Linked DNA regions of Lytechinus pictus. The protein of the gene in region 1 purifies or fractionates together with the protein of each later gene. This does not show direct contact. Links are inferred from orthologs where the notes say so. Each region holds a gene or a part of one and is shown in the gene's direction. Other genes may lie near its edges. The genes, in order: PIN2/TERF1-interacting telomerase inhibitor 1-like and telomerase reverse transcriptase-like.

Evidence for each region.
Region 2: the proteins of PIN2/TERF1-interacting telomerase inhibitor 1-like (region 1) and telomerase reverse transcriptase-like purify together in Homo sapiens (co-immunoprecipitation; 3 studies listed by BioGRID and IntAct, with this or other methods). This does not show direct contact. The link is inferred for Lytechinus pictus from reciprocal best matches to the Homo sapiens genes PINX1 and TERT.

The regions. Positions count from the first base shown.
Region 1 is NC_087250.1:7,509,554-7,526,118, reverse strand, and holds the start of PIN2/TERF1-interacting telomerase inhibitor 1-like, read left to right. Parts: upstream 1-9,664; 5' UTR 9,665-9,718; intron 9,719-11,474; 5' UTR 11,475-11,500; coding exon 11,501-11,597; intron 11,598-12,312; coding exon 12,313-12,475; intron 12,476-13,555; coding exon 13,556-13,670; intron 13,671-16,565. UniProt on the Homo sapiens protein: Microtubule-binding protein essential for faithful chromosome segregation. Mediates TRF1 and TERT accumulation in nucleolus and enhances TRF1 binding to telomeres. Inhibits telomerase activity. May inhibit cell proliferation and act as tumor suppressor.
Region 2 is NC_087260.1:22,793,103-22,809,634, forward strand, and holds the start of telomerase reverse transcriptase-like, read left to right. Parts: upstream 1-9,375; 5' UTR 9,376-9,617; intron 9,618-12,874; 5' UTR 12,875-12,921; coding exon 12,922-13,025; intron 13,026-15,173; coding exon 15,174-15,294; intron 15,295-16,532. UniProt on the Homo sapiens protein: Telomerase is a ribonucleoprotein enzyme essential for the replication of chromosome termini in most eukaryotes. Active in progenitor and cancer cells. Inactive, or very low activity, in normal somatic cells.

The DNA.
Region 1 (16,565 bases):
TACGCCACACCTACCCGGGTAGGTGTGTAGCGTAGTGTAGGCTGTAGCAGTACTCCAGTAGTGAAGTGGAGACTACACGAACATCACTTGAGGTACGGTGCTCTCTGAGTCTCTATCTGTGTCATTACAAAGATTGCATTTATCTTCATTGTTGAAGGCATTACGCATACATATATGCAGCAACACTCTAATCAGAAAGAAACACCAGACTCTAATTTTGGCCCACCCAAGGGTTCATTAACATGCCGCCGCGCACAGAAAATTCAAGCCATAGAAGTCGTGGACCCAAGAAGTGAGATCCCAGCACGCGCGACCCACTAGTTAGAAATCCACTGCCAAACGCGGTTCGTGGTTAGTATACTAATACTAACCTCGCAATACGTACTAGTAGTATACTAATACTAACCTCGCAATACGTGTGAGTGATTTTGGCCAGGAATCAGGGTAATCACTGCTGAAAATTTGTCTGGCTTCATGACATCGGCATCATGGTGATATAATTCTGTGTATAATAAAAACTTAAACATTCCTCTGAAACAGCAGATTTTCAGCCATGGTCCATACCACTCAGTGCTCCTAAATAATTTAATCGCCTGCCTGAGTCCTGACCAGTTTTAGAAATCTGAAGAAAAAATCTGCTGGAATTGTGCCACTCACACGTATTAAGTATACTAACCTCGCACCACGAACCGCGTTTGTCAGTGGATTTCTAACTAGTGGGTCGCGCGTGCTTAGCCTGGAGGCGTCTGGGATCTCACTTCTTGGGTCCACAACACACGACTTCTATGGCTTGATTTTTCTGTGCGTGGCGGCATGTAATGAACCCTTGGGCACTCCTAGTACCAATGAGGTCCAACATTACATGTATGGACCTCATAGGCGACATCAGTAGTATTTTTGGTTAGAAATCTCTGAGAACAGGATATTTATATATTATATCACAAGTACAAGCTATATTCCTTTCTCTTATTTAAATTATAATTTTATAGTGTAAATGCATCGTTAGCAACAACAAAAAATTAAAGAAATGAAGGGGAACTTACATTTTCAGGGCTTTTTCCTGATTTTCTGGGCAGCTGCTCTTCTCTTCTGACTCTCGATCGAAGCTGATATGAAGATCACGTGATTCGCGTTCTCGTCAGCTGATCGGTTGGTTATTCTTTTCGTCAGACGTTAATAATATATATTTTATAATGCTAGCATTCATCGCTAATTTAGGTGAAAGAGATTGAAGTTAAACAGCGCCAGGTCGGAATCATAATTATTTTGGAAGAGTGTATTTATACACTCGATCTCATACCTGACGTAGACGGCGCTATTCAACAAATGCACAATCTTCAATATAAAAAATAAAACAGAAAGAACGCCTTGAACACAGGCCAAAATGCCTAACGATTTCTCCGCGGCATTAACAACTATCGTAAAGGGCGCTCCATTTATCAATAAAGATGGATGCTAAGCTGTCTATGGCGACAAAATTTGCCGCAAATATTTACGAAGAATTGTGAGAAATGGTCTGAAAATGCAACAAAAGAACCGGTGAGTACCGATTAAACATTATCAATTTATTTAATAGAACATATTTAATGACTACAATGTAACAATTTCTAGATAATATTGCTTAGTTCTAAGCTAGGGCGGCCCAAATGCGCGTGAGTGGAGTCCCAGTTTATTAGCACGGGTAAGTATTGGGGTGTCGCCTAGAGTGCCCTTGGGTGGAATTGTGCAAAAACATTATTTCTAAAATAAAAACTTTTTAATTTTAATAGTAGTTATGCCAAAATGCATGATTCTAAACTTATATCAGATCTGTATCTGTCATCTGACCTGAATGCATCGTCAGAACAAGTACAGTTTCCAAACATGCTTACCTTGACTTTTGACTGGATCAAACAGCGTAGCCTGCAACATGCATCGGGAGCAAGTGAATGGGACCGTGCAGCTTGGAGTTTTTCAATAGTTAGTAGAGCAACACAACGAAGACTGTCGAGTGGACAAAATCGATCTTTCCAGTTCACAATTCAATAAAAAACGGGCAAAATAACACAGTTCTGGTTCCCTTATAGTCTGAAGTTGTCGAAAACAGAATTCGGATGTCACATTACATGAAGAAAACGGTAAATTCGGAAGATATTGAAGAGGTCAGTAAGGTGATTCAGTGTATTATGCACAGAGGGATGATGAGCTCGATGATTGTGTGACGTCATTATTCTCGACTGTTTTCACTGCGTGAACTGTCGGTCTGGGGGCGGCTGGGGGGCTTAGAATGGTCTCTAATAATTTCATTTCTTGCATTTCCACGACATCAATAAGACTTTTTAGTGACATATTTGTGTATAAAAAGACAAGACCTTTCCATTCATATATAATTTGTCTATAATCATCACTTTCGTGAATTTTCTTTGGATGTATACTTTAAGTGAAGGGGGTATTTATTTCTATTTAATGCCAATTTTATTTTTTCAAATTCATTTTCTTTTAATTTATTTTTAATCTTATTCAAAACTATTTCTGAATTGTTTTCTCTACCACTGAAAACCAAATACTTCACAAGGATTATAAAGTGATTATAACCAATTTTTCTTTTCCTTGATCTGCTAATTTTATCCCCAAAATATGTCTTCCCAAGTAAGATTGGTGAAAGAAACAAAGTCAAAAATATTCTCGCAGTCTCTCCATATTAATTTTGCTTTTTCGCACTTGAAAAAATAAATGACGATAAGTCTCTTCTTCTTTTTTACAGTAGCTACACAGATTAGAATAAACTTTCCCAAATGCATATGCTGATTTGTATAAATGATTCCGTGTATGAATTTAAATTGGAACTCTCTAAGTCGGCTGTTTAATGTACATTGCCTTGGTCTTTTAAAAATATTTTCTAGTGTCTTTATCTGAAAGACGGTAGTTACACTTTAGTCTTGTGAATACTCCAGGTGTTATTGCTTTCTGGTAAAGAAATGTTGTATAAAGTTTTTTTGATGCAATATCATTTATTGCTACAACATTTTTACCTAATAAAAAAACTATGTCAGGATCATCAGGAATTCTCGCTACCCCAAATAGCGATTTCGCCGAGATCCGGGAAAATCCCTGTAACGTGCATTGCATTATGGGATAGCTTTTTCGGTATTACAACTTCCTGTTCGGAAGTCCAACGCACTGCATTTGCCATTTAGATCAACAGTGCCGTCATGCACAACAACACAACGTAGCTTTCGCTCGGAAAGTTCGTGATCACAACCCTCTCTTTCACTAACAGTTTTACAGCCTTTTCTGCTAAAGTCACTAATTCTGCCTGACGCTTTCCATTGCATGGTATTCATCTGTCAGTTAAGATTTTTTTTAAGTTCCGAAACTGATTTTTATCCATTTTGTGGTCGACGAAAAATTGAACGAAATGAATGCTGAATATATTTAGTGTCTAGTTGAATACGATCGTGATGTCAGGCCGGTCGCTAAATGCAAAATTTTAAGATATTCATTATTTGTTAGATTTTTTTATAACCAAATAAAAGCATGAATAAAAATTATTCTTACGTGAAATATATTTTTTATTTTTATTTATAATTCAAATGGAATCAAAACTGACCAAATGTAATAAAAAGTATTATACTCTGTACATATTACGCTGATTGGCATCGATTTCAGCGTGGTGGAAAACTCAGTATCGCGAACCTCGCGCGGGCATGACTCTAAACCGGAAGTGGTGATGACGACCCGACGGGGTGAAAATTATCTCGTCTCGCGCATTATGAGATTTTTGTTCCTATTTGGGGTAGCGAGAATTGTGTCTCTATCTGTTCTCATATTCCTCTTCCAGCTGACCGGAAGTGTACCATAGATCTTATTGCCAATCAATTCAATGTCATTGGATTCTAATCCTCGTCGTTTTAAGTATCCATGAGATCTTAAATTTCCGTCACTATCCATTATGTGGTTCAATCTATATATATTTTTTTTCAATCTATATATTTTTTGTCAAAAAGCTTTCTGTCAAATATACACTTTCCGTTAACTCGTATGAATTTATTATTAAACATTATTTCATTTCCTTTGTAAGGTTCATATTTCTGCTAGAAATTCCTCGTTTCTATCCACACTTCCAGAAGATCTGTATAGAACTTTGGCAATGTTAAATTCAAAAGGTCAAGTAAATAGTCACAAGAAAAAAATGAAACTTCCGCCTACATGTTGTGTAGCGCGATTAAAATATAACTTCCATTTCATTTCGTTATTTTCCATAAGTTTTTTGACCCACATAACTCTCTGTGCTTTTATTAACAGTTCAAAATTCATCATTTTCAGACCTCCCAAATGGTAATCCAGATACATCGTATTTCTATTAATTTTATTTCTTCCACCCCACAGGAACTCAAAGGTTATCTTTTCTAACTCCTCATAAACCCATTTTGGAACTGGCATGAGGGCCGCTGTGTATGTGAATTTTGAATATATAAATATCTTTAGTAACTGTATTTTACCCATCAACGTCAAATCCCTCTGTTTCCACCAACCTAAAAGTTTTTTTGTTTTACTTAATATTTCTTTGTAATTCAAATTTTCTTTTACTTCATTGTTCGAAGAAAAAAACACCCCTAATATCTTAACAAAATCCACTCTCTGGCCGAAAGGTATTTCATAAGATTTTCCTTGTAAAGCCCCAATCAAGAGAACTTTTGTTTCATCCTTATTAACACCAAATCCTGAAATATTTCCAAATTCTCTAATAAACCTTTGACTTTTCTAATTGAATCTTCATCTTGAACAAAAAGGGTCATATCATCTGCATACATGATTTTTTTATTTCCTCCTTTCCAAACAAAATACCTTTAACCTCCCTATTGTATCTTACATTATGTGTCAGTATTTCTAAACATAAAATAAACAGGCATGGGGATAGGGGATCCCCTGCCTTACGCCTCTACGTACATCAAAATATCCCGTTGACATTCCTCCATTAAAAATACAACTTAATAAGTTTTTGTACAAAATTTCCACCCATCTGCAAAACTGTGGACCGAAGTTATAAAAATGTAATATTTTATTAAGAAAATCATGGGACACCGAATCAAAAGCCTTTTGAAAGTCAATTGCTATCATATACCCTATGGTAAGTCATTTTTTGTCGCATGGAATATTACGTCGTATATTATTCTGATTGCTTCTCCAATAGTTCTCCCGTTCATGAAACCTATTTGATCTACTGAACTAATGTCTTCTAAAACATCTTTTAATCTTGTTGCCAAGACTTTAGATAGAATTTTATAATCAATATTTAATAATGATATTGGCCTGTAATTCTTAAGTAAATGAGGGTCCTTCCCATCTTTGGCAATCAGAATGACCACAGCTTGTTTTTGTGATGCAGTTAGTTCTCCTGTTTCAAATGCCTTGTTAAATGCCCCTAGTAAAATATCTTTTATTTCTGTCCAGAATGTAGTAAAAAACCCTTCGGTCAGTCCGTCATTCCATGATGATTTATTTTGTTTCATTCCTTTAAGGACTGTAAAACATTCTTCTTCATAAACTTTCCCTTCACAATTTGTTTTGCTTTCATATGACAATGACGGTAAGTTTTTGAAAAAATCTATATTAGATACACTATCTTCTAAAACCTTGATGGTAATTCGCGATAAATTGATAAAATATGAGAATCTAATAAATAACACACCTATATATAAAAAGTACCGCATATCAAAGAGAGATCGAAATGCACGGAGAAGATAAACCCAGCTAGCACAAAAATATTATAAAAATATTATAACATTAATATATTATATATTATAGGTAAATGATATGAAAACATTTTTAGAATGTCAAAATATATGGTTATATCTATGTATGGTTATGGCAACACGGCTGTCTCTAATTGTCATATAGACTATATGTCATGAAAATGGCAACACGGCTCTCTCTACTATATGAATTAAAATTATGTCATGAAAATGGCAACACTGCTGACAACTGATTAAGTGCATTAATTTATCAATTGCTGGAACTTATTTTCATCAAATGGAGACGCATCATTTACACATGGATGAAAAATTATAGAAGCAATTATGATTTCAAGTAATAAGAAAACGAAAAGTTGGGATGTGACATCATATCCGCAGCCCACATAATAAATAGGACTATTTATCATGTTTATGACGAAGTGCATATCACTATATTGCTAAATTTTAAAATTCAATAACTTCATTATTTGTTATCCGATTCTGATGAAACAGCATTTTGCTCTAGGCTGTGAATTTTACTCTACTTATTTAGATATATCTTCAGCCGGGAGCATCCTTTCATGTTATATTGACTATAACTGCCATGCAAATTGAAACGCGGTTATAATAATGAATTTGAGATATTAGTATCTTCAACTGTAATTATTATATAGGCAGTCTCTTCACGGTAATTCTATACTTTGCAAACCCAAAGTCATTACAATAAGTATTTCTAGTAACAAAAGAGGGATTACTTTTAGCAGAAAACCAATTAGCACTTCAAGGACTATAGTACATTCAGCTTTATATCCTGCTTTGGGGTAGGAATTAACAATAGATAATCCTGGTTGAAAGCCATCAATTGACTACTTAAAGGACAAGTCCACTTAAAAAAATAGTGTATAAAGCAATTAGAGACATCTGCGTTGCCATTTTCATGACATATAGTTTATATGACAATTAGAGACAGCCGTGTTGCCATTTTCATGACATAATTATAGTTTATATGACAATTAGAGACAGCCGTGTTGCCATTTTCATGACATATAGTTTATATGACAATTAGAGACAGCCGTGTTGCCATTTTCATGACATATAGTTTATATGACAATTAGAGACAGCCGTGTTGCCATTTTCTTGACATATAGTGTATAAAGCATTTAGAGACAGCCGTGTTGCCATTTTCATGACATATAGTTTATATGACAATTAGAGACAGCCGTGTTGCCATTTTCATGACATATAGTTTATATGACAATTAGAGACAGTCGTGTTGCCATTTTCATGACATATAGTTTATATGACAATTAGAGACAGCCGTGTTGCCATTTTCATGACATATAGTTTATATGACAATTAGAGACAGCCGTGTTGCCATTTTCTTGACATATAGTTTATATGACAATTAGAGACAGCCGTGTTGCCATTTTCTTGACATATAGTTTATATGACAATTAGAGACAGCCGTGTTGCCATTTTCTTGACATATAGTGTATAAAGCATTTAGAGACAGCCGTGTTGCCATTTTCATGACATATTCATAAATTATTAACAGGTTATGCAAACTTTTGTAGATGTCTAAATGTGCTTAAAATAAAATCTTGTTTTGCAATGGCTTTATGAAATTATTAAATGTATTTGAAATTCTATTACAATATTTAGGGCCTACTATAACACTTTTTGCCTTGTATATTAAAAATTATCATGATGAAAATATTTTTACAAAATTAAATAATCCTATCTACCCTACCCTAAAATTAAAATGTTTCGTTTTTCTAACTCTTAGTGCATTGAATCTTCCACCAAGTAAAAAAATAATTGTAATTGATGTTGTTGATATGTTTTCAAATTTCAACTCCACGTATGGTATGCTGCAGAACTCGCGCTCGCGTCCCTTGAATTGAATTTGGTACTCTAATGGTGGTAATTGCACTGTTCCATTTTCGAAAAACGACTGGTCTCGCATCTAACTTCGTACGCGCGGGTTCATAGATCCTCCGTTGTTCACGATATCGTCAACATTAAATAGATCTACATGTGTTTTAACCATAGAGATTAGTATACATCTCTATGATTTTAACCCATAAATCATCTGTAATAATAAATTCGCACGAATCTATATTACTCATTAGTCGTAAACGAACGATACCGAGCGTACGGCCACGTAGCCCACATAGCCTGCACGTAACACACACACTATCGGACTTCCTTAATTGACCAATCAGAGAATGGCTAACGTGCTGTCTTTAACGGGACGTGCTCGCTAGCGTGCAGCCACCATTAGGGGACTTGCAATGCAAAATCCCCCGTCGGGGCTCTTCAATTTTTGTCTTTAATGAAAAAAAATTTTGAAAATTAACGCGACCAAAATGCAAATTAATATTCCCTCTTGGCATTAATTGCCAAAAAACGGAGAAAAATCAAGTTAAAAGGAACAAAAACAGTGACTTACCTCGGCTGTCGCGCAAATTCACTTCCCCGTTTTATCCGATCTTAAGTACATAAACATATGGCCATTGAGTCCCCTGTACAGATCGCGCTAGAACTTCGGTCTCTGTATTTGGTGAGTGAAGCCAACGGAGTTCAGCTGAACAACCAACATAATAGAGACCGAAGCTTTTGGTCTATGTATCCTATTGCCGGACACCTTTATTTCAGTGCTTTAAAAATGACCACTAGAGGAAATACAATCAAGAAAAAATCGCACTTGCTATTCCAAATATTATGAAAATTATGAATATGGTAAAATTATTTTATATTTACCAACCATTTTCTTTGCATCGCACTTGCCGCATACCCCTCCACGAAAAACAGTTATTTTCGTGCGTGACAAATTACATCATCAGACAGTAGAGGCGCACGGCCAATATGGGAGACTCTCTCCAATAGGGGAGACAATCTCCCACATTGGAGACTTGCTTTGCAAAAGGACAAAAGAAACAACACCAACAAAAGTATGATTTTTTCCACCCAAAATTTTGTCTCACTGAGGTCAGAAGCCCATTTGTTTTGTGTGTGATTGACAACAAAATCCCTTATCAAAATAAAAGTAGACGGTGAATTTTTAAAGTAGACGGTGAAAAGGGGTAATTTTTCATGAGGAATCTGCTTATCACATTTTTATTTGCCGCCAAGGTAATCCTTTTGCAGCAAATGTAAACAAAGGAAATTGGACTCCAAAACTGGAGACTGTCTCTGAAATTGGATACCCAAATTCTTTACAAAAGTCTCTGATATTGGAGATAATCTCCCACATTGGAGACAGTCTCCAATATTGGCCGTGCGCCTCTACTGATCATGATTCCGGACGCGCGCCGGACGGGTAAAGATATTCTTGATTATAATGATGTAAGAACAAATTTGTGTGATTTTTTCTTCTTATATAATATCATGAGTAAATTCTAAGTTTTTGTTTGCTGTTTTTATATCGATTCTGAGCAGATGTTGGTAATAAATTCGTGTTTGATAACTTATTTTATTTTTTCTTGTTAGCTGCATGTTTCATGGAACTTTCCAATATTATGCTCGTTCGTATCGTGACGCTCATCAAGTTCTATCGATGCGCTGCCGATCGTCGACGGCTCTATACTCACGGTGCTCACGGTAAACCTCGCGCACGGGTACCTTGAGAACTAGCCGTCGACGATCACCCACAATACACCACACCTCATCATTCGATCGAAGGAGCGGACGAGATTAATTGAAATTCGGCAGATCAGACCCATATTTCCGTTAGAAAATATATCAATTGTTAATGCAAAACTATGTTATTTGATATTTTAAGCATTTTCTGTCATTTTAGAGATAAATAAGGTAAAAGTTGGATTTTTTTCGCCTTGTTTTTGCAATCCTGTTCTATGTATTGCTCTGTGAAATTGAATTGCGGAAGTCTTACGGTACAAAATTGTTTTCGAATGCAGTAATATGCGCGTCCGGTAATACAATACGTGACTATACATGTAAATACGATAAAATGCGTGTATGTGAACTCGGCTAAGCAGCAGGTAAGCTCCGCTGCCTTCGCGGTGCTGCGTTGGCGGAGCTGAGGCCAAGGCTTGGGCTTGAGCTCAGAGTCAGAGCTCTACATTACATCCCGGAGGGGGCAGTCAAATATAATTGCTGTACACATGCGTGACAAAAAGAAACCGCGTGGAAAAGTGGTGTTTTTTCAGTTTTGGACGTGGGCCGCGCGTGCACTCTTATAAAAAACACAGATTTTCAAGAAAAAGGTAGCCATGCCACTATTATAACCCAGCCCCAGGGAGCCCAGGGGCTTACCGTGTATTTGACCATAGTCACCGGACTAGGGTGATTTATGGTCTAAATATTTCTCCAAATGAATTGTGAAAACAGAAAGTATACAATTAGGCCTACCACGATTATATTGATGAAGGTCTAACGAGTGGCAGTTTCCTGACATCTGCCTGGGCACAGACTGGAACCTCAAAAAACGAAAAGTTCTCTCCTTCTTCCCTGTCTCGATCGGCCATTTTTGTTAAAAATCGTAACAAAATGGCCGATCGAGACTGGGTAGAAGGAGAGAACTTTTCGTTTTTTTGAGGTTCCAGTCTGTGCCCAGATGTCAGGAAACTGCCACTCGTTAGACCTTCATCCATATAATCGTGGTAATTGTATACTTTCTGTTTTCACAATTCATTTAGAGAAATATTTAGACCATAAATCACCCTAGTCCGGTGACTATGGTCAAATACACGGTAAGCCCCTGGGCTCCCGCCCGCGCAGCAGGCGGGAGCTCCCTGGGTTAGTAATAATAGTATTGCCAGCCCATGCAGGCCAGGCAGGAGGAGGCTTTAGAGTTTAGTTCTAGAGAGTAAAAAAAAATTATTTACTAACCTATGCTTACTCTCAACGAAGGTCGAAGCCAGGAATTCCTTCCCATTCATACATGTATCTGCACGTACCGCCCCAACACCTGAAACTTCCCCCCCCCCCAAGATTTCTACTTCTAGAAAAAAGATCTAGCCCTATCATGTACATGGGGTACAACTTCATTTCCGACATTTCTACGCTATCGATTTTATTTTTAAACAAGAATTCATAAAAAAAATGAGAAAAATATGAAAAGACGGAAGAGAATTGCCCAATGTTTACGCCGCCATCTTGTTTCCATGTACAAACATCTTAAAATCAGCAAACTGGATCTGAATACAGAGGTTTAAGCGTGTATGCAAGAGCAGCCACAAGTATCCATTTAAATTACATAAGGACGGTTTCCAATCCTTTTCTTAGGTTTGAATAATTTTTCTAAATGTTTATCTCTCTCTCTCTCCCCTCAATATATCTTTCCCTTTCTCCCCTCCCACTTCTCACCCCACCCCAACCCCCACTCCAAATCTATCTTTGTCCCCTCCCACTTCCCACCCCCACCCTAACCCCTTCTCCCAATATATCTATCCCTCTTTATCTTTCTCCCTTAATTCCCACTTCTTAACATCCCCACCCAACCCCTCTCCCAATCTATCCTTCTTTCTTTTCCCCTCCCATTTCTCTGCACCCAACCCCTCTCCCAATCTTTATCTTTCTCTCTTTTCTCCTCTCTCCCACTTCTCCCCAACCCTACCCCAACCCCTTCTCCCAATCAATCTTTCTTTCTTTCTCTTTCTCCCTTCACACATCTTCCCACCCCACCCTAACCCCATCTCCCAATCTCTTTCTTCCCCTCTCCCACTTCTCTCCACCCCGCTCTTTCCCCCCACCCCCTACTCTCTCTCCATCTCTCTTTATGTTCTGTTCATTCAGATTCCTCCAAGTTTGGTCAGAAGTTGATGGAGAAGATGGGTTGGTCAAAGGGCAAAGGTCTTGGGATCAAAGAGGATGGAAACGTCTCACACGTCAAAGTTTCTCTCAAGAATAACAACTTAGGTGAGTTTGCACTGGCCAGTAGAGGAGAGGGGGTGGTGGGGGGGGGGGAGGGGGGGGGGGGGTATTCAGCTATAATGCTTTACACATGTGTGACCAGGAAAACGAAGTTAATAAATCTAAAAATCATATTAGAAATATATGTCGTGTTAAGGACCTGTGCATTTGTACAACACTATATCATCATCATCATTTTCATTATCATCATAACGTTCATCACTAGCATCATCATTATCATCATCATCATCATCATTAAGATCGTCATAATCATCATTGCCATCATCATTGTCATCATCATCATCACCACCCTTATTATTAACACCATCGTCATCATCATTTCCATCATCATCGTCATCATCATTTCCATCATCATCGTCATCATCATCTTCATCATCATCATTACCACCATCATCATCTTCAGCATTATCATCATCGTCATCACCATCATCATCATCACTATCATCACCATGATCATCATCATCATCTTCATCATCATGATAATGATTACCATCATCATCATCATCGTCGTCATCAATATAATCATCATCACCATCTTTCTTATCAACACCATCATCATCATTATCATCACCATCTTCATCATCATCATAATCATTATCTCCAGATATTTTTCTAATTGAGCAAACCTTAGATATTGTGAAGTGAATATGGATTGAATTGACTTTCATCATCGTTACAAATGATATTTCAAATTTGATAGGGATTGGATGCAAGGCTAGCCAAGAAGACAATTGGATCGCTCATCAAGACGATTTCAACGACCTTCTCAGCTCCCTCAACGAGGGACATGCGCCCTCTACGTCAAACGAAAGAGAAGCCTTGAGCTTGGAAGAACGCTCCAAGAAGTCTCGCAGCAGAGTCCAGTGAGTAACATCTGACCAAGAAGAAAAATTACATCAGGCTCGCGGCGATTCCAGAAAATCCCCTTTCATTTCAATGATGAAACGATAAAACTGGCAGTCAAGTGGAAATATTTATTTCTATATTAAATTCTCCTCATATATAGCCGATATTCGGTGATATCATGTATTGATGAAAATTATTTCTTTCCAAGTACCCTGACACACTGAGGGATATTTTTCTGTTCGAATAGCTGATCATCACTTTGCAGCTTCAGGAACATCTCTACTGTTCAAAACCCCATCAGTTATCGAACTGTCAGCCACTGACAGTTTTAAAATTCCTTAGATCTACAGAAATAAATTTCACATTTTCACAATTAGCTGAGCTATCTAGCTGTAAATAGTGGCGTGGATCAGCTGCTGCACTTATTGCTATGGGAAGTGCGTGTCCCAGGAAAATCACCCTGGATGTATCAATATCTTGGAGTATTGGCTATATCCGATTAGGATTTATAATATATATGTTTGATTCTATTGTGTTATGATCTTCAACAACTATAACTTTGTTTTACTATTCTGTAATACATGTATGTTATCTTTGTAAATTTACATGGATTGAAAAGGAAGACCTTCAGGTTATAGTTATTTTGTTATTTTTCTTTTCACGGCTTCCATGTGACTCTCCTTATCCTATTGTTTGTATATGTTGTTTATGTCTGATTATACCAAATGAAATAATAATGATAATAATGATATTAATAATAGTAATATTGATAATAATAATAATAATAATAACAATACTACTACTACTACTACTACTAATAATAATAATAATACTACTACTAATAATAATAATGATACTACTACTACTACTACTACTACTTCTACTACTACTACTACTAATAATAATAATAATAATAATAATGCTAATAATAATGATAATAATAACAATAATACCACTACTACTTGTGATGTTCACTTCTACTTGCAAGAAATTCATGTGGGGGAAAGATATCAATACAATCAGTTTAATGAAGTGTCTCTGTTTCTGTATATGCTATCATTTTAAAAATATTTCTAAATGTATGATATTTATTTTAGTTACAAGAAATTCACACAAGGCAAGGATATGAGTCGCTATGGAGAGGACGGTATGAACAGCATCCTGGGACGCCGCCTCACAAGTTCTGCTCCGGTTACACCTCAAACACAATCGGTAAGTTGGACACAGAGGCCCGTATTCTGCAGTTGGGTTTGATTTAAACTCTGGTTTAAAGTTGTGGTTTAACTATGGACAGCCAATAGTTGCGTAAATCTCTAACAATATAGCATGAATGTATCAGCTCATTTTTTGGTCAAATCATTCTTAACTGTTTCGGAAAGATAAATAAGATAACTTTCTTCACCATTCACGAGTTGGGAGAGAGCACAGTAAGCATAAGAAACAGGCAATGTAAGGACAATTTTTACATGTTTGGCTTCCATAATTTTCGCACAGAGTTAGACCATGGTCTAAGTTAAACCTGACTTCAGAATACGGGCCAGAATGTTCAAACTTACAAAGATGGATTTGAATCCATGGTCGCAAAAATCAAGGTCATTTTTCTGTTTCTGTCATGAAAATGGAAAAACAGAATTTTCCTTTGTCATTTCATTTTTTAAAAATACAAAAACAAAAAATGCAGCATGGTTTCAGCTCTCTGAAATCACAGAGCTTAAGCAGTGCTTTTGTGTTTTCAAAAATGAAATGACAAAGGAAATTCTGTTTTTCCTGCATGGCAGAAACAGAAAAAACAACTTATTCATATGTACCTTGAATTGTAAACCATGATAAATCCAGATTTCATGTACTAATTTCATTAATGGGTTCAAGTATGCCACGTAGCCAAAAGCAAGTAAGTCACCTATTCATACTTTAAAGGGGAATCCAACCCAAATAAAAACTTGTTTTTAGAGGAAAAAAGAAAAATCAGACAAGTTGATAGGTGAAAGTTTGAACAATATCGGACAATAAATAAGAAAGTTATGATTTTTTAAAAGTTGTAAATATTGGTAATCACTATACCCATGGAGACTTCAAATTGGCCGCATATGGGATGTCATAGTGATGTAAGGCAAGGACTACTCTTCCATGTACTCCAATACATATTATGGCTAAAATGTAATTTTTTTCAAAAAGTCATACTTCAAATTATATTTTTCTTTCATGAGGACATAAAACAATATACTACCTGGGTTATATTTAAATTATTGCCCCAGGGGAATGGGTATTTAGGAGAAAACCACAAATCCCTGATAATTAAGTACATGGCCTATGAGAATGTTGTCCTTGCCCCTTGTCATAATTTATTACCCAGTTGCCAATTTGAAATCTACATAGTCCTAGGGATCGCAAGTTTAAAGTAGCCGTAACTTTCTTATCGCTTGTCCGATTTCTTTCAAATATTCACCATTCTGTTTTCTTTATTTTTTCTCCTTTCCAACTCAACATTTATAACCGAGGCTGGGTTCCCCTTTAATTCTATGCAATCTACCTACTACGCACATTTAGGGTGCAGTATTCTGGAGGCATCATTTTACCTCCTAGTCTGCAAGCACAGACTCAGATGTGACACTTTAACAAATTCCCATGTCTAAGAGTGAAGACGAGACTCAAAACTCTCTGGCCCGTATTTTGAAGTCAGGTTTAACTTAGACCCTGGTTTAAAGTTGTGGTTTAACTATGGAGAGCCAATTGACGCACAAATTCCTAACAGTACACATTCAATTTATTAACTCATATGACATCCAAATTTTTCATAATTGTCTGGGAATGATAACTGAAGTATATTTCTTCCTTATGAAAGCAAAAGGAAACCAAATTGTAAACATTAGAAATATACAATATAAACAGAATTTTTGAACTTTTGGCTTCCCATAATTTTAGCACAGAGTTAGACCGTGGTCTAAGTTAAACCTGACTTCAGAATATGGGCCTTTATCTTTAGTAGAGGCTGCCGACTGCAGTACATTGTGAATCTAGTCTCACTACTTTAGACTCTTCATTATGCATTATGCAAATTGCAAAAACCAAAGGTCTTTGACTGCAGACTACATTTTATCCCTAGTGTGTAAAACCTGAGATGACATCTAGAAGGGCTTATTTCCAGTTTGTCTAATGCCAATTCGTCCAATTGCCAACTCGTCTACTATCATCTGGTCTACCATCGGTTCGTCCACTCACCACATGGTCTACTTTCTTTTAGTCTAATGCCATTCCGTCTGATAACCAGTTGGTCCAATAGTCATTTAGTCCATATACCATTTGGGTCTAATTGGACTAAAGTGTCAATTGTGCAAAATGAATGAAAATGAAACGGATATTAGACCAACTGGTTATGAGACGGACTGGTCATGGACAAAATGGTGATTAGACGAAGTGATGATTGGATCAAATGGTTAATGGACCAATTGGTTGTTAGATGAAATGTTGATGGATGGAATGGCATTAGACTAAATGGAAGTAGACCATGTGGTGGGTGGACGAGTTGGCAGTAGATGAATTGGCAGTTTACCTCTAGAAGGCCATGCCAAGGATTCTGATGTACATATTGGATACACTTGTGATGTCATAAGGAAGCATACCGTATGTGGACTCGCAATTTTGATCAATACTTATATTAAAAGATTCTAGCATTTGATGTTTGCGAACATTGTGTGCAGATTTCAGTCATGAATCCAGGGTTCGAATTAATTTTAGGGCATCCAAGATCATGACCTCAGATGCCCTCAGAATGGCAGTGACGCCCTTTCAAATATTTGTAAACTTAAGGCCAAAATACAAGCATATAAGTGCCCCTTCTGCCTCTGACCCTAATGTTTTTCATTGTTTTTTCAATGAAATTTGTTTGGGACTCTTCTGAGATCATAAACAGCATAAAATAAATACATTTGGACCAGCAAAACTAAAAATAATAATACTTTAAGAAGGACTGGTGATCCTTTCTTATGGCGAATGGTATATTCATTAGCGATGGTTTTGCGCGTAAGAAAGGATCACCAGTCGCTCTTAACTTACGAACAGCTTTACGAAACACCCACCCGGTGCCCTAAAGTAATCCAGTGCATGTGT
Region 2 (16,532 bases), on another chromosome or scaffold:
TATATATTTTTTACGACATTCCAACAAAGTAAGATCGTCTTCATATTTATATAGACTGATATATATTCACTAGCATCGTTGATCATAATCAGGAAGAGAATAGAACCTAATTTAGTGCCTTTGGGGTACGCCACCGTGATTGGGTAATTAGACAAAGTGCCTGATATTTTTTTACACGGTTAACGATTCTTCCCCAAAAACTTATAATCATTATATGACATTGATTATTTAATGATGCAAGATCGTACATTGAGTTTGATCAACTTTCTAACGATGTTATGATCCAGCCTATCAAAAGCCTCGGTGAAATTAGTAAACACAACCGTGGATAGACTCTTGCTATGTTATATGTGAAAACTGTGTATTATCATTATTGTATATATTTTAAGTCAACTTTTTTTTCATTGCTCATCGTTTTAAATGATAGTAGTTTTACCTCTTTCATATCTTAAACCCATTTATGTTTTCAAAATGTGGGATGGAGACCTTTGCCAGTTTTCTGACATCTGGTGCAAGTTTGTCTATGGGAATTGCCGGTTTTGGCGGAAGAAATCTACTGGAGAACAGTGCTGTTTTAAAAAACGCATTGGCCAACTTGATGACATTGTCGCTAACCCTTATCCAGTTCTTGATCACATCTGGAGAAGCGTCCCAATGAAGAGAATCGCTGTAAGGAAGTCCGGTAAGATCGCAGAACTTCTGAAGCACATCAGCGGGGTTGGTCAACAGATCATCAGTGTTGATGACGATTGGGTTGGGATCCAAGTTGTCCCGGACGTAATTCCAAAGCTCTGTTATTCCGCTGTAGAATTCGTTCGCGTTCATGACAGGGTCACCGTGACCGATGTCGAAGGCGCCTTCGTCGGCGGCATCCCCTGAGCGGATTCCAACATTTGTCAGGTGCTGATACATCGCTTTCATGTAGGATGTGAACAGTTTATGAGGTTCCCGGATGAGAAAGACATGCTTGAATCGTTTTGGTAGGTACTGCCGTCATTTCTTATCCGGAAAAGCCATCTACCCGTTCTTGACAAAGATATACTTACTGGTGGATGCCTCAAGTTCTTTCTGCACGTTATGGTATCTATAAGGAACCAAACCAAAAAGGGCGTATTTAAATTGGTGATTGTGTTTCTCCCACGCTCAGGATGCTCACGCTACCACGTCATCATTTCTTGTTTCGTGTACTGAAACTTGTGCTATGCTACCTAATTTTTTCTTCCTAGTTTCTTGTCATTTCTACTTCCTTTTAGTTTATTTTCCTTTATTTTATTATTCGTTATCATTTTATGCCATGTCTGCTACTTCCAACTTGTACTAGTTCTTCTTCCTAAGAGTAGTTAGCTAGAGTTGCCAATGTTTTGAGTATCTACGCTACAAGACACTTGCATAAAGCGGTTGAGATTGTTCGTGGCATGATCCAAGCCATGATCCGTACAGGAGAACTTTGACAATCAGCCATTTTGATTTCCAATCATGACTCGCAATTGAACTACAGGGAAACTCTGTGTCACTGTCCTCTATCCGTTTTGATTATTTTGTTTTAAGCAGTCTTCCCTGTCCATGTGATCGCGTTTTTTTTTTCGTTTCTATTTTCATTTTGTTTGTTTTTTTTAGCAAAGGGCGAGTTCCATACCTAATTCAAAATAAAGACTCATTTTGGATACACGGATTGCAACGTATTTCCTAAATTATACAATTAAATAGAACAGTAAATTAATCGTCAACTTATATCAAAATAATGTTATGTGGGAGCTACCTTTAACTTACATCTATCAAATACTTCATGCGTGTATACAGAGTGATAGCGATTACAAAGTCCAAAACAGAAGTTGGTTTTTATAGGGACAATGGCTTTTTAAGAAAATTGGCTTTTTACGGAAATGTAATAATGATGCATCAGTAAAATAGAATTATTATCAATGTTATTATTGTTATCAGTATTATCATAATTGTTATTGCACTGTACAATATCATTATTTTTATCATTGTTATTATCATTATTATTATTATCATCATCATCATCATCACCGTAGTAGTAGTAGTAGTAGTAGTAGTAGTAGTAGTAGTAGTAGAGTAGCAGAATTAGCAGTAGTAGTAGTAGTGGTAGTAGTAGTAGTAGTAGTAGTAGTATAGTAGTAGTAGTAGTAGTCGTAGTTAGTAGTAGCTAGTAATACTAGTAATATTAGTAGTTGAAGTAGTTGTAGTAGTGGTAGCAGTAGTAGTAGTAGTAGTAGTTGAAGTAGTAGTAGTAGTAGTAGTAGTAGTAGTAGTAGTAGCAGCAGTAGTAGTAGTAGTAGTAGTAGTAGTTATTGGTGTTGTTGTAGTACAGTAGTAGTAGTAGTAGTAGTAGTAGTAGTAGTAGTAGTAGTAGTATAGTAGTAGTAGTATTCGTAGTATTCGGAGTAGTAGTAGTAGTATTATAGTAGTAATAGTAGTAGTAGTAGTAGTAGTAGTAGTAGTAGTAGTAGTAGTAGTAGTAGTAGTATTTGTCGTATATTAGCAGTAGTAGTAGTAATAGTAATAGTAGTAGAATTAGTAGTAGCTATATAGTAGCAGTAGTTGTAGGGCGACGGTGTCACAATGGCGGGAAGTTTATTTCCTTGAAAGAACTCGATTCTTTCCTTACATGCTTTACTAATGTCCCTTTTTTAAATGGATTCCCGCTTCTCAAAATAGAATAAAGCAGTCATAATAATCTGGTGACGCACGTATCCAAAGTTATTAGAATGATGGTTTAGTAATTATGTCGACAATATTTGATTCTTTATATCGTGGCCAGAAGGAATATGTATTTTGATTGAATTTTTTTTAATGGGAGATCTTGAAAGTCGTGTGGTCGGCTAATCAACAGATGAGCACATAGGTTGACAACAAGAAGGAAAAAAAAAGAAAACGAAGAAAAGAGAATAGAAAGGAAAATAGATTCAAAGAGCGAGGTATGACCACAACGGAAAACAGGATGAAAATGGATAAGGAAATGCCCTATAAGACCTGCCCTATATTTAAATTCCGCCATATGTAAAAGAACATTTCCCAAGAGTGCAACAGATCCCCTCTGTTGCCAAAACCAAGTGCGTATCATATTTTTGGGTTCATAAATGATGCAGATAGCCGCGAGTGGTCTTGTAATGATCCACCCCATTATCTCCATCGTTAATTCGAGAAGAGGCGTCCACCTCCAGCACCTTGACTTCTCGACTGATTATCATCATGGCGGGGGTGTACAATAACATGCAAATTGAAGCGATGGTCACTGTACACACATCTTACAACAATATCTTGTTCGAATCGATTCGATTACACGTGGGGCTGTCACCACGGTTACAGATGATATCATGAAACACAACTTTAGTTCACTGCAAGCAATAACCTATTAAAAGGAAAAGAGGGGTAAAATAACTATAATAATGGTAATAATATTAATGATAATACTTCTAATAAGTATAATTATGATAATTTCTTCTAAAGTGTACCACGATGAGGCAAATAAACTTTTCCAAACTGGACCTCTTTCTATAACTACTTCTCCTGGCATTCACGTGGTATCGGTTGATAATCCCCTTGGCTCTTCTGATCGATTTGTGATATGTATGTAGCTAACTACAAGCAAAACTGGCTGTACGAGAAAGCTGACTGGGATAGTCTGCGCTCGTTCCTGTTTCAAGCTGACTGGTCCTCCCTTTGAAAGTCACATAATGCTGATAGTGCTGATATCGCCTAGAACAGTTAGAAAGAAAACATTGGAGATGCAATGGACGTTTTAATTCACTACCATCCAGGACTATCGAACACACGTACTCGGATAAGCCATATGGTTCAATGGCAGATGTCATGACACTGTTATCCAAACAGAAGGCTTACAAACTGGCAAAAGAGCCATACAAGTCATCTTTGGCTCCTATTATTATGGAATCTAAATCTAGATGTCAGCGTACCATAATTATGCAGAGCACGTATAGTTCTCACAAAACCTAGAGCAGGAACTCAATTAAGCATGCCAGCAATAAGCAGTGGTGGAAACTGGTCAAATATGTAACTGCAAGCAACAAGTCATCTGCTGTCCCTCCACCGAAAGATGACAATGGCCGTGCAGATGTTACAAAGTTGAGCTCCTTATGCAGCACCTTCACTGCAAATGCGCATCTTGATGATAAGGGCCAAGTTTCTCCTATAAGCTGAAGTTGAAAACTGGTGAATCTGTCTCTACCATCAGCTTCTGGCCTAAGGTTATCCTCAAGAAACTACGAAATCTTGACATATCCAAGGCAACTGGTCCAGATGGCATCAGCCACCGTACTTAAGAACTGTGCACTTGAGCTTGCACCAGTTCTTTCAAAGCTATACCAGTTGTCCTTGAGCAGAAAAACCACACATTCAGAGTGGAAAACTGCCCATGTTGTAGATGAGCCCAAGAAATGGAACAGCTGTATATATGCATCGAACTACAGGCTAGAGCAGCTGTACTCGCACTTCTTGATAGGCAGCGGAAAGCGATCCGCCTCTAGAGAATTGAAGACAAACCAAGGTTTGCCTTTATCCACTTGAGCACCGGATAAATGTTGCATCTCTCTGAACATGTACCTTCTACCGTCACTTCTTCCTGAAACCATCCGATGAGTTGTCTGCATGGAACCCCCCCCCCCTTGGCCCCCAATGTCAGTTTGACACGCTCTACTGCAGCTGCCCATCCCTAAAGAGTCACTGTCCCAAAGTAAAACACTGTCTTGTCAAGGACAGCTCAGCTCTGGAACTCACTTCCTGTCAACACATTCATGGGCCACTTATTATTATTTTATGATCACAACATATCAGACCCAAAGAACTATAACAAAAAAATAATAATAAATAATAATAATGAAATAATTGAAAAAAAAACAATAATAATAGTAACTATAATAGTAATAATCATCATCATCATCAGTTAATATCTTATCTGTTTTGTCTTCCATGATTTGGAATAATAATAATAATAATATTCCGCATTTATATAGCGTTTAACACATCGGAACGACGTCTCTAAGCGCTTTACAGATATATTATTACCCCGGTCATCGGATCCTTGCATGCCCGCATACAATGTATGCACCTTCTCCACTCCCTGGGGAGCATTCCAACAAGAGTTCTAAGACTCAATTGCTAGGCATACTACATCGGCTTTCGCATCCTACCGGGTACCCATTTAACACCTGGGTGGAGAGTGGCAAATTGTGGATTGACGCCTTGCCAAAGGACGCTAGGCCATGGCGGGATTCGAACTCACGACCCTCTGATTACAAGGCGAGAGTCAGAACCGCTACACCACGGCGCTTCCACGGAATAGATCCCGTCATCTGATCATTTCATCTAAACATGACGACATCCCATATCTCATCACACTGATCATCTCTTCGAAGGGATACCACCATGAGATGCGATCCAAGAATTAACTCGTCATGTCATCTTTCGCTAAAACGATGTCGGCTTCCAAAGATGATTATTTCATATCTTGCTGGCACGTTTAGGTTATAAGATTTAATAGAACACTGTCTTTACAATCTAGAGAACTGCACGTTGCGATGTGTTGGACGTCACACAATAAAAAACTGTTTTTCATTCTGACGTATTTATACAAGCTCTTTAAGTCACTGAGGAGCGAAATCTGAAAATTGAGTTAATTGCCTTCTTCCCCATTAGGAATAGGTCTTAACCTGGAATGGAGCTTTTGGTTTTCTGCTGCGTACAAGGAAACGTCGTCTGTCGGGAATTTAGATACAATGGTAATGGATCATCTCGAGCAGTAGATAAAAGGTCTCTCGTTTTAGGCTTTCCCATGATGGAAATATTCACTTTTTAAAAAAAAAGGCACATAATTGGATGTAATCTTGTTTCCAAAGCATTGCACGACCTTCTATACAAAGGCAGTATTTCGGTTTGATTTACTAATCAATATTGTCATGGTTAATATCATATCAATTGTTTAAAATATTAAACTAACCAAATCAAATAAAATCAGATAAAAGTAAATTATCAACATTATTTTTTATGTACAGTAGTACACTAATATAGTCTCAACCTTTTGCTCTTTTAAATAACAATAGTGGAACGCCTCTGGCAGTCTCGCCTACGTTACGCGATTCAATATAGCAGCAGTGCTGACTTTGAAAAAACAACTATTGAATAATTATTCACAAAAAATAACATCCATATGATAATGAAATACTATGTTAATTGACCCTAAATTTATGTGACCTGAAACTCATACAGGATGTTCAAAGATACATGATTACCCTTATGTCCAATTAATTTTCATGAACTAAATCTATAAACTTTCAAAGTTAAGATGAAATTCAGCAAATACCCCAACAGGTTAAAGTTCTTTGACCCTAAATGACCTTTGACCTTGATCATGTGACGTGAAACTTGCAGAGGGGATGTTTGATAATACTTTATCAACTTTACATCCGTTACATACGTTATGCGATTCAATATAGCAGCAGTGCTGACTTTGAAAAACAACCATTGAATAATTATTCACAAAAAATAACATCCATATGATAATGAAATACTATGTTCATTGACCCTAAATTTATGTGACCTTAAATTCATGCAGGATGTTCAATGATACATAATTACCCTTGTCTAATTAATTTTCATGAACTAAATCTATAAACATTCAAAGTTATGATGAAATTTAGCACATACCCCAACATGGTTAAAGTTATTTGACCCTAAATGACCTTTGAGTTTGATCATGTGACCTGAAACATGCACAGGTCACAGGATGTTTGACAATACTCGATTACTCTTATGACCAGATTTCACGAACCAGATCCTTAAACTTCTACAGTTATGATGACATTAAAAAAATAAACATTCGTTAAGATTTCGGTGTTGATTCCCACATGGCCTAGGTTCATTGACCCTAAATGACCTTTGACCTTGATCATGTGACCTGAAATTCAGGCAGGATGTTTCGGAATACTTGATTAGTCCTACCGTTAAGTCCAATTGCTTCTTGAACTGGGTCCATATACTTCGTAAGACATGATGACATTTAAAAAAATAAGTAAGTTGGTTAAGATGTCAATGTTGGCCAGTGGCGTAATGAGCCAAATATTTTCAGGGGGCTCGAAATGGCGTATCGCGTAAAATTGATAATAAATTGCGAGCGATCTAAGCGAGTGAGAAAAAAAAATCGACATTTTTATTACAAAAATCCAAGTTTTGTGATAAATTGTTCACCATTATCCCTTACCTTTTCTCTTTTTCTTCTTGGTCGTGATTTTTTCTGCCCCCCTCTCCCACTGTTTGCACGCCCATCGACGCAGCCGCCGCCGTCGAAAAAGCGGCGCCTATAGTCTCGCTCTACTATGCAGGCGAGACAAAAGCTATATATAGATCGCCCATTCTTTATTTTTCATGAAAAAGCATTATTTTTTTTTTCATTGTTTTGTAACGTCTTTTAATCTACCTGTGTGATAACTGCGTGCGTTTCATTGCATTGCAATGACCTGCTTTCTTTTTAAAGAATATAGAAAATGATGACACAAGCAAACGGTTAAGCTGGCTCGTATTATTCAGATTTATTATTCGGATTTAAAAACTTTAGAAAAGTCTATCAACAAATGAATCCAGCGTGTTGATTGAAAATCATTATAAGTTGAAGATATACTTGATTATAAGAAACCACATAAGATCTCATTTGCCGCATGATGATATCTAGAAAAAAATATGGCAAAATGTTTGATGCATCCTGGAAAAAGAGTACAGAGAAAAACTCAATACTATTGTATTGAGGGAGAGTGGAAATACTCTCATTTATTTATTTCAATAATACATGTATATACATGTAAAAACATACAAATATCATACATTATTTTAAACATAAATATACAAATATAATCATGAAACATTAAGATGAGATTTGAAAAAAAAATAATGAAAGAAAATGGTATCCCAAAAAGCCTCAAAGCACTGGCGTAAATCCGTGTTGATGGGTGGGGGGGATGACTGAAATATTTTGGAATTTTTTGCAATCATGTTTTTAGATATGCAAGGAATTGTCATTGATATGTCCACAGTGGCGTACCGTGGGTCACGGCATTGGGGGAGGGGGGGGGGCACCAGCAACATTTTTGAATCACTGAGTGAGTGCGCTAAGCGCGCGCAGTTGCCAGTTATACTGACCTAATAGAGAAATTTTAAAGACAATGTCATTAAACGGATATGTATCTCACTAATCAAATAATGCGAGCGCGAAGCGCGAGCTGAAATTTTGTTATATTCACACCTAAAAAGGGACATTATAATCAAATTTGTGTAATCATGATAGGAACCTGTCTCGCTAAACAATGCGAGCGCGAAGCGCGAGCTGAAAACTTAGATAATTCAGACCTGAAGTGGGGCAATCTAAGGTTTCTTTGTAGGAATTAACTAGGACCATACGTATTTCATTAACCAAATGATGCGAGCGCGAAGCGCGAGCTGAAAATTTTTGATATTCAGATCAGAAGAAGGGACATTTTATGGACTGATTTTAGGAATTCATGAAGAGCAGACATATCTCACCAATCCACTAATGCGAACGTAATCACGGACAGGAAATGTTTCATATATACGAAGACCTTAACATGAGGCAATCACTTTTTGAGTCATGAAAAAGAAGCATATGTAACTACGTAAAACAACGATAACTCAAGTGCTAGGAAATATATTTGGTTTATATTGACTTGAAAACGAGATGTTTTAGTACAACAGGATTATATATCTCGTTAAACAGACAATGCGAGCACCAGGAACAATGAAGACGTAGGCCCTGGGCAAATTATGTTTCATAAAGTTATGATAAAAATGTTTCTTATGTATATATAATGTAACATAACATAATTATAATGTAATATAACATTATAATGAATAATATCTTCTTCTTTCCCACTTTGCTTCTCTTCCTTTCTCCCTATTGTCTCCTTTTCCCACTTTCCCCGTTTTTTATTTGGTCAGCCGATGGGGGGGGGGGGCCGGGGGGGGGGGTGTGCCCCCCATGCCCCCCGCGTAGTTACGCCACTGTATGTCCATATGGCAAATACCCTCCAATATTATTATCTTTTTTACCCCATGATGGTTAATGGTTTTATTAGAGATTACATTCAAAATGTTTTGACATTCCATCTTAATCCCTAATTCCCAAAGACCCCAACATTGATGAATTGGAAGAAACGGGGGTTTCTCTTCAATGTTATGATAAGGACATAAGTATTTCGTTTGGAAATGGTGAACTGGCTCTTTATTGTCATTTTATGATTCAATAATATTGTTTTATTTGTTAAGCGGTATTTTAGGAAGAATTTTCACCAATAAAACAATTATCTCTTGTGATTTTTTTTCATTTCTTTCGTAAAAACTGGGGGGGATGTTTGTACAGGCCATCCCCCCCTCCTCGAAAAGTGGGGGGGATATATCCCCCCCATCCCCCCCGGGATTTACGCCAGTGCCTCAAAGGCTTGCAAAAAGGGAAACCAAGAATGATCCCGCGGGTAAATCAAATACCCCAAATATGCGGCCGTATTATATTTGTGAAGCGATTTCAGCGAACCAACTGATGCAGTTCAACCTCAATCATCAAGGTGCAATTTCAGGTGAGGTGAAATACCCAAAAATATTTAGGATCTAGCGCCAGGGCTAGTAATATTATGCTAGGTGATGCCACCATCTCCGCCGCGAATCCGCCGTAATTGGAAACAGAAATGGAACATTTTAAAATATAATAAAGTGTAAACTCTAAACGAGTAAATGGCCACAAATATAGGTTAGGATACCTCATTATCATCAACGCATGCGAATATTACACGTACGGTACATATACAATTCATCACGATTCCGTGATACAGTAATTCGAAATGCACAAGACTAAAGAGGTATGGCAATTAGTTCCCCCAACAAGTCTGCGCAATTCTTGTAAAAGAAGAAATGCAACGAACACAAACGCTTGCAACACATAAGACAGATATTTATAAAGACAAAATGGTGGAAAAAGAATGAATTTTGGGCATTTTATATGAATCATAATATTGATGGCCTCATAAGTCATAATGCAGCCTTTACTTTTTAGTTTCTCTTCAAAATACCTGAATCGTGTGCAAAGTGAATGGGTGCGCAGACATGGGGGGGATGGGTGTCCGGACACTATTTTTTAAGCCTTTTTTTTTTTTTACTTTGGATTACACTAAAATATTATGAATTCAATAATACTAGTTGTCTTCTCTAATCTTGTTCTCTATAATTGCTACCATTTTGTATACCCAGTGGTTGTGTGTCCGGACGGGTTGGGTGTCCGGACACATGACTTTTACTCTCAATTTTGAAAAGTTTACAAGCAATGTCTTTAATTCTTTTTAGCACAGAATATAAGAAAATATTATAAAGAACAAATATTGATGGTGAAAAAAAACTATTCAACCTATATTTTTGGTTTATTCCTGAGATAAAAACAAGGCTTCATTTCTGTTACGTGTCCGGACACCCAACCCCCCATCCTACTAAAAATTGATGAAACTTTGCTTGTAAATTTTTCCAAATTATGACTTTCTAAAATTGATCGTCCTGACATAGCCTTGAGGACTCCCGGGGAGTGTTTCATCAACATTTTGGTCTGACAAGTTGTCAGATCTGACATCTTTCATTGATTCTGATTGGCTGAGAGGCACTATTACTATGGTAACTGTTGGAAATAAAATGGGACTTGATAAAACGTCTGACAAGTGAAACGCTTCCCAGGTCTGATATTTTTTTATGTATTTTGACATGTACTTCTACATGGAGCCTTGACACTCTTTCCATAGACGCTGCAGCGAGACCTACACGTCCAGATGGATTTCCCTAGGAAATCCATAGTTAGAGGGTGAAATTGGTTTGTAGGGGTGAATTTTATTTATCTATGAACCTTCATGCGCCTAAAGTGTATAAAGGGATAAAAATTATTTCACTATAAATGGTAAAAATGAGACGTTTCTTACCAGGCCGATCTCCTGTAGATCCCTCGATCCGTTTGTCAACAAAGCAAAGTCAATAGACCTGACCCTTGAACTGCTTCCTTATGACGTACATGTACATCCGAATAGCGATGCCGTTTTGAAGAACAATTTATAGAAAAAAAATATTTCACAAATTTCAAAATTTATTACCTGATTATAAATAATTATGTATTAGATTTTACTATTTGTGAAACAATAATTTTTATCTATAAATTGTCCTCAAGGCTAGTCCTGACACACAACAACTGGGTAGACCTCTATACCATTTTTTTTTTCAATCTGAAAATGACTGCCCGAGGTTTTTCCAAGACAATCCTATAGACCCCATTTCTTTCAATTTTTTATGAGATATTTGGTACACTTACGTACTCATAATATAAGGAACATTATTAACTTAAAAGATTTATTGAAATAAAAAGAAATTCATATTAAAAACTCAAGTCGTTAGGTGCGTAGACTTGGGGACCCAGGAAGACCCATAGCACATTGGTAGTATGAGGACTGTTTTTGCTAGTTATCATTCATGCCATGGTTGTAGTTCGGCCTAGTTATGACTTCTGTTAATGTTTTATCATCATAATTAGATCTAACAGATCTACATCTAGGCCTAGAACCCCCTAAGTCTTACTTAACTCTCCTTAATTTTTGTCGCTCACCCAGCCATGATTTGTATATGTTTTTACGTCTAACGTTAGATCTATATCTTTAATATTATTTTTCTGATCAAGCCAGGCATGGTCTTTTCTTGTTAAGCCTCTGTCTTTGTTTTACTTCTAGCCAAAGTCAGTTTAGATCACCTCGTTTCCCGTTTATCCCATCAAATATGTCTGGGTCAAATGTCAATCCATGTCAAATCAACTAGTGTTTGTCACCCGACCCCTCCGATTTTCTTTATACTCACACCAAATGTTCCCCCAAGTGTCTGACGGAAAATTCCGAAATATTTTGCCCCATGGTCAAATGGTTGCTAAGATACAGCCTTCCTTTCGCAACTGACAAAGGAATTAGTAGAACACCTAAATAGAGAAGAATGAAGATGACAAAAGAGAATGAGAGGAAAGGAATTCAGAGTGGAAAGAATGGATGGCAACTGAATATAATTATGAACTTACATAACCTAAGTTCAGACTGCAAGGGCAGTACTGACAGAAATGTAAATGAACTTAAGTCTGGACAGAACAGAAATGTAAAACTGCGTGGTGGCAAAGATAGCATGATAGGAGAAATAAACAAATAAGAAAATGCCAAAATAACTATCCTACACTAGTAATACATACAGTATCAGATGCTTAGTGATTGGTCTGAATTTGTGAGTATATGTAATGAGGATACATAGTGTATATTCACCACTATGATACACTCATTGCTATTTTTATTGTCCAGAGTGTGTTGGAGATGAAAAAAGAGTGTCATATGCTCTTCTTGCAGTTCCACCCTAACCTTAAGTTCAATAGCGAGAGTTGACCTACCCATGGGCTTCCCACAAGAAGGGACTTGGGGGTAATTTTTACAATTAATTTTTTATTCAAATATTGAAAGATGGGGCCTACATCCTAGGCAATCCAGCGATGCAAAAATTATTTCGAATTACAAGTAAAACTCAAAATATCAGCAAATTAAAAAGGGTATAATGAAAAAAATAATTGTGAAAATCATCCCTAAGTCCCTTTTTTACAGGAAGCCGACAAAATTTAATTTTAGAAAGTCAAAAGGGGCCTAAGCTTTCGATCCTAGCAGAATCTTCGTCGGAGGCAAAATTTAATTTTGTTAAGATTACACCTGTGAAGTTGAACTCCGAAATTAGCCATCTAACTCCAGTAGTCACTCAACATTAACACATTAATTGCTTTGCTTCTATTTAGACTGGGTGATTCATTAATTGAATGATTCTGACTCCACCCGACCAACCATGGATATCCTGGAAAGAATCTATCCCAAGGTTTCTCGTCTGGAAGACTTTCTTCAAGTTCTGGATGGATGTCCACCCCTCTACATCCCCAAAGACAAAGCTGGGTAAGGAATTTAAACTTGTTCAATGTTTCACAAATACAATAATAATAATAATTCATAATCACATTTTAAATTTTAGTATTTGTTAAATAATAATTTTTATCTATAAATTGTTCTTCAAAATGGCATTTTGTAACATCGCTAATCGAAGGTACGTCATAACGAAGCGGTTCAAGGGTCAGGCCTATTGTATTTGCTTTGTTGACAAACGGATTGAGGGATCTACACGAGATCGGTCTGGTAAGAAACCTCTCATTTTTGCCATTCATAGTGGAATAATTTTTATCCCTTCATACGCATTAGGCATTTGACGGTTCAAAGATCAGTAAAATTCACACTTATAAACCGATTTCACCCCGTAAATATGGATTTCCTAGGGAAATCCATCCGGGTGTGTAGGTCCCGCTTATGAATGTATGGAAAGAATTTCAAGGCTCCATGATGAAGAAATATTTGTCAAAATACTGAAAAATATTATCATGGAGTCCTCAAGGCTAGATTATTCATTTGAATTGTGTTTTTCATTTCCATCCACACAAAAATGCGTCCACGAATGACTGGTATATTTCAAAGTTTGCCAAGTTCATTGTACAACATCCTCTAAATATGCCCCAAATATGCATTCAAAGTAGAAATGCAACAAATACCTTCATAGAGTGTTCGTTCATTGATGTGCTATTCTAGTCACCTGGTCTATTCAATTTCTTCATCCTGCTATGTAAGGCATGCATTTGTAATATCTTGCTTTGAAATCTGCCTATCATTATGAAAGAAATGAATGGTCATTTGACCAAAATTGTCCATGAAGTAACTACGAACTGGTCTATTGGAGCAAATATCCCAAAAGAATTTGTGTGAAAAGTGGTGGCATATGGTACCCTGTTTAGTACCCCCTTCTCTCTGCCTACATGTTGGCCTATATGCTGGCCTGTCATCATGGCCACGCCTGTATGGGATGATTCTCAAGATTTAACATCATTTTGCAAACCTCACCAGATTCACTGAAAATGACATCAATTAGAAAGAAAAAAAAATCTCCCAAGCAGTAGGATTAGCCAGGAGCCTCGTAGAGACTAAAAATCATTTACTAACGTGTGCTTAAGTAACTCTCCAAGGAGCCAGGGATTGCGTCCCATTCATGTGCGTGTACCGCAAAAAAAAAATGAAATTTTTGCCCCCGACATTTCTTCTTTCCTTCTATCTAGCCCTAAATCATGAAAATGGGATAAAACTTCATTTCCGACATTTATATGACATTGATTTCATTTTCAAACAAGAATTCATTTAAAAACCGAGAAAAATATGAAAAGCCGGGGAAAACATGCCGCGATGTTTACGTCACCATCTTGTTTCTTTTTGTTCTTCGCCAAGATACATGACGCATATCCTCCACCAGCAGGTCCAATAACAGATAATTATTCGCTTTTTGTTACAGATTTGATTATTGATGTTACAAGATTAAAACTACAAAATACTTTTATGTGCAGCAGGTCCAATTTGAGAAAAATATTTTTTTAATTCATATAGTTTACATTGATGTCTATGTAATAATTAACTATTAATGAGTCATTTAAAGAAAAAATAAAGGTATTTGAGACTCAAATATATATTTTTTTCATTATTTACAGAATGGTAATACCTATGACATATCAAAAATACTTTTTTGACCATTTTTACCCTGTTCGCGAAATTGGACCACTTAATGAAATGCGACCATGTGTATTTGTGTGGTGGGGTAAGGCTGTAAGAGTAATATACTTTTTCAACACTTCAAATTTCTCAAAGTTAAATATAAGAATGCTAAACATGTTTTAATTTTTTTAAAGAGTGTGGGAGACACACATGACACCGAGCACAAAAATTCCTGCGATTAGGACTCTCTTTTTTTTTCATTTCCAAATGTTGGCAGGTCTTTTTATACAATGTTTCTAATCTACGAAGCGCTGGATACTAGATGTATTCCCCCTGTTTTGGCATGGGGTGCTCGAGCTTTCACAGAATTTCTTCAATACTAGGTAACCACCTGGTTGGAGAGTTACAAACGTAGGCTTGAACCTTGTACCTTGTGGTACAAAGTCCAGAGCGTTTTCCGCTGAGCCACAAAACCTCTTATCTTTTTTTTGTTTGTCATCTGTTCTTCCTCTATGAAAGATACAAGGCCTTCCTTCACTCAACTCTGGTAGGAATCCCATCCAGTCATCTGAATTATAAAGGTCCTCTGGATTATACACAACACTCTGATCATATGGAGGTGATCAACAGAGTCATGAGAGTAAGTGGTACATTTCTTCTTAATTCTAAATCTTTGGCCCGTTTCTTTAGAAATCCTGTCTCTGCGGAAAGCCAAGTTGACAATAATCCTCTGTGAACAGATGTATATCCTTTCCACATGCAAATTTCAATGTGTCTGCATTTTGTCTATTAAAGCAGTGTATTGTGTAGGTTGGCTTTCTATAGAGATTTTGTCGAGCTAGAGTTATGAAACAGACCCCTGTTAGTCCGACAGTCCACCTGGTTCCGGGGGAGGATGTTTCACAAAGATTTAATTATGACATAAGTCGCAGTTGCGTGCGGTATAAATGTCATCTCCCCATTGGTCAACTCATACTAAGAGGACACACGTTACTCTGTATTAACTCTTAATGTGCCATTCGCTGTAATCAGCAAGGGCCATATTTTTTTTCAAAGAGTCTATATTTAATTGTTTTATTTATAAAAAAAGGATCACTCCTAAGAAAATAATGTTAAACCTCTTGACCATAAGCTGAACTGAACAATGGAATCACTCATGCATGCAATGTACTCCTCAAAATTCAATAGGCATAACAATAGCTGTATGACCATTGCACGAAAATGTGTTCGTCGCACTCCAGTGGATGCACAGATATGTGATCATGGCACATTAAGGGTTAATAAGTTACGTGTTACATGTAATTTGCGCATCAGCATTTAAGCATTACTCTATTCACACTTCACTTTGTTAAATACCCCCTGGAGGTATAAATGTTGATGGCCGTGTCACATCGTTCCGTGCAAGCCTTGCGCGTGACTCTTTTTGTTACCCGCATGTCGCCCACATTGACAGTATCTCGCACGTATCAAGCACGCATCTGCCCTCGGGAGCGCATGCAAGTCTGATTTGCACACAAAAGTTTTGAAAATTTTATGCTCAAAGTTTGTTGCGGGTGATTGCCCGCAAATCACCCACAATAATTGCACAGAATGATGTGACAGGGCCTTTATACGGAAGGAATTATATTAGATAGGATGCCATTTTTTTTACTATGCCGTGCTATCAAGTTATTCCCAGACCTCTCTTCTGTAGTACATACCAATATTAATGGTGTTTTCTCCTGTTTGAATGTCAAACTTAGACAATCAGAATTCTGTCATGTACTAGTTAGGACGATTTGGGGTCCTGATTCAGACCTGCCAACCAGTACGCGTTTGGCGTATTTAGTACGTTTATGCAACCAAAATACGGCAGTACGTTTTTTCTTTAAAAATATG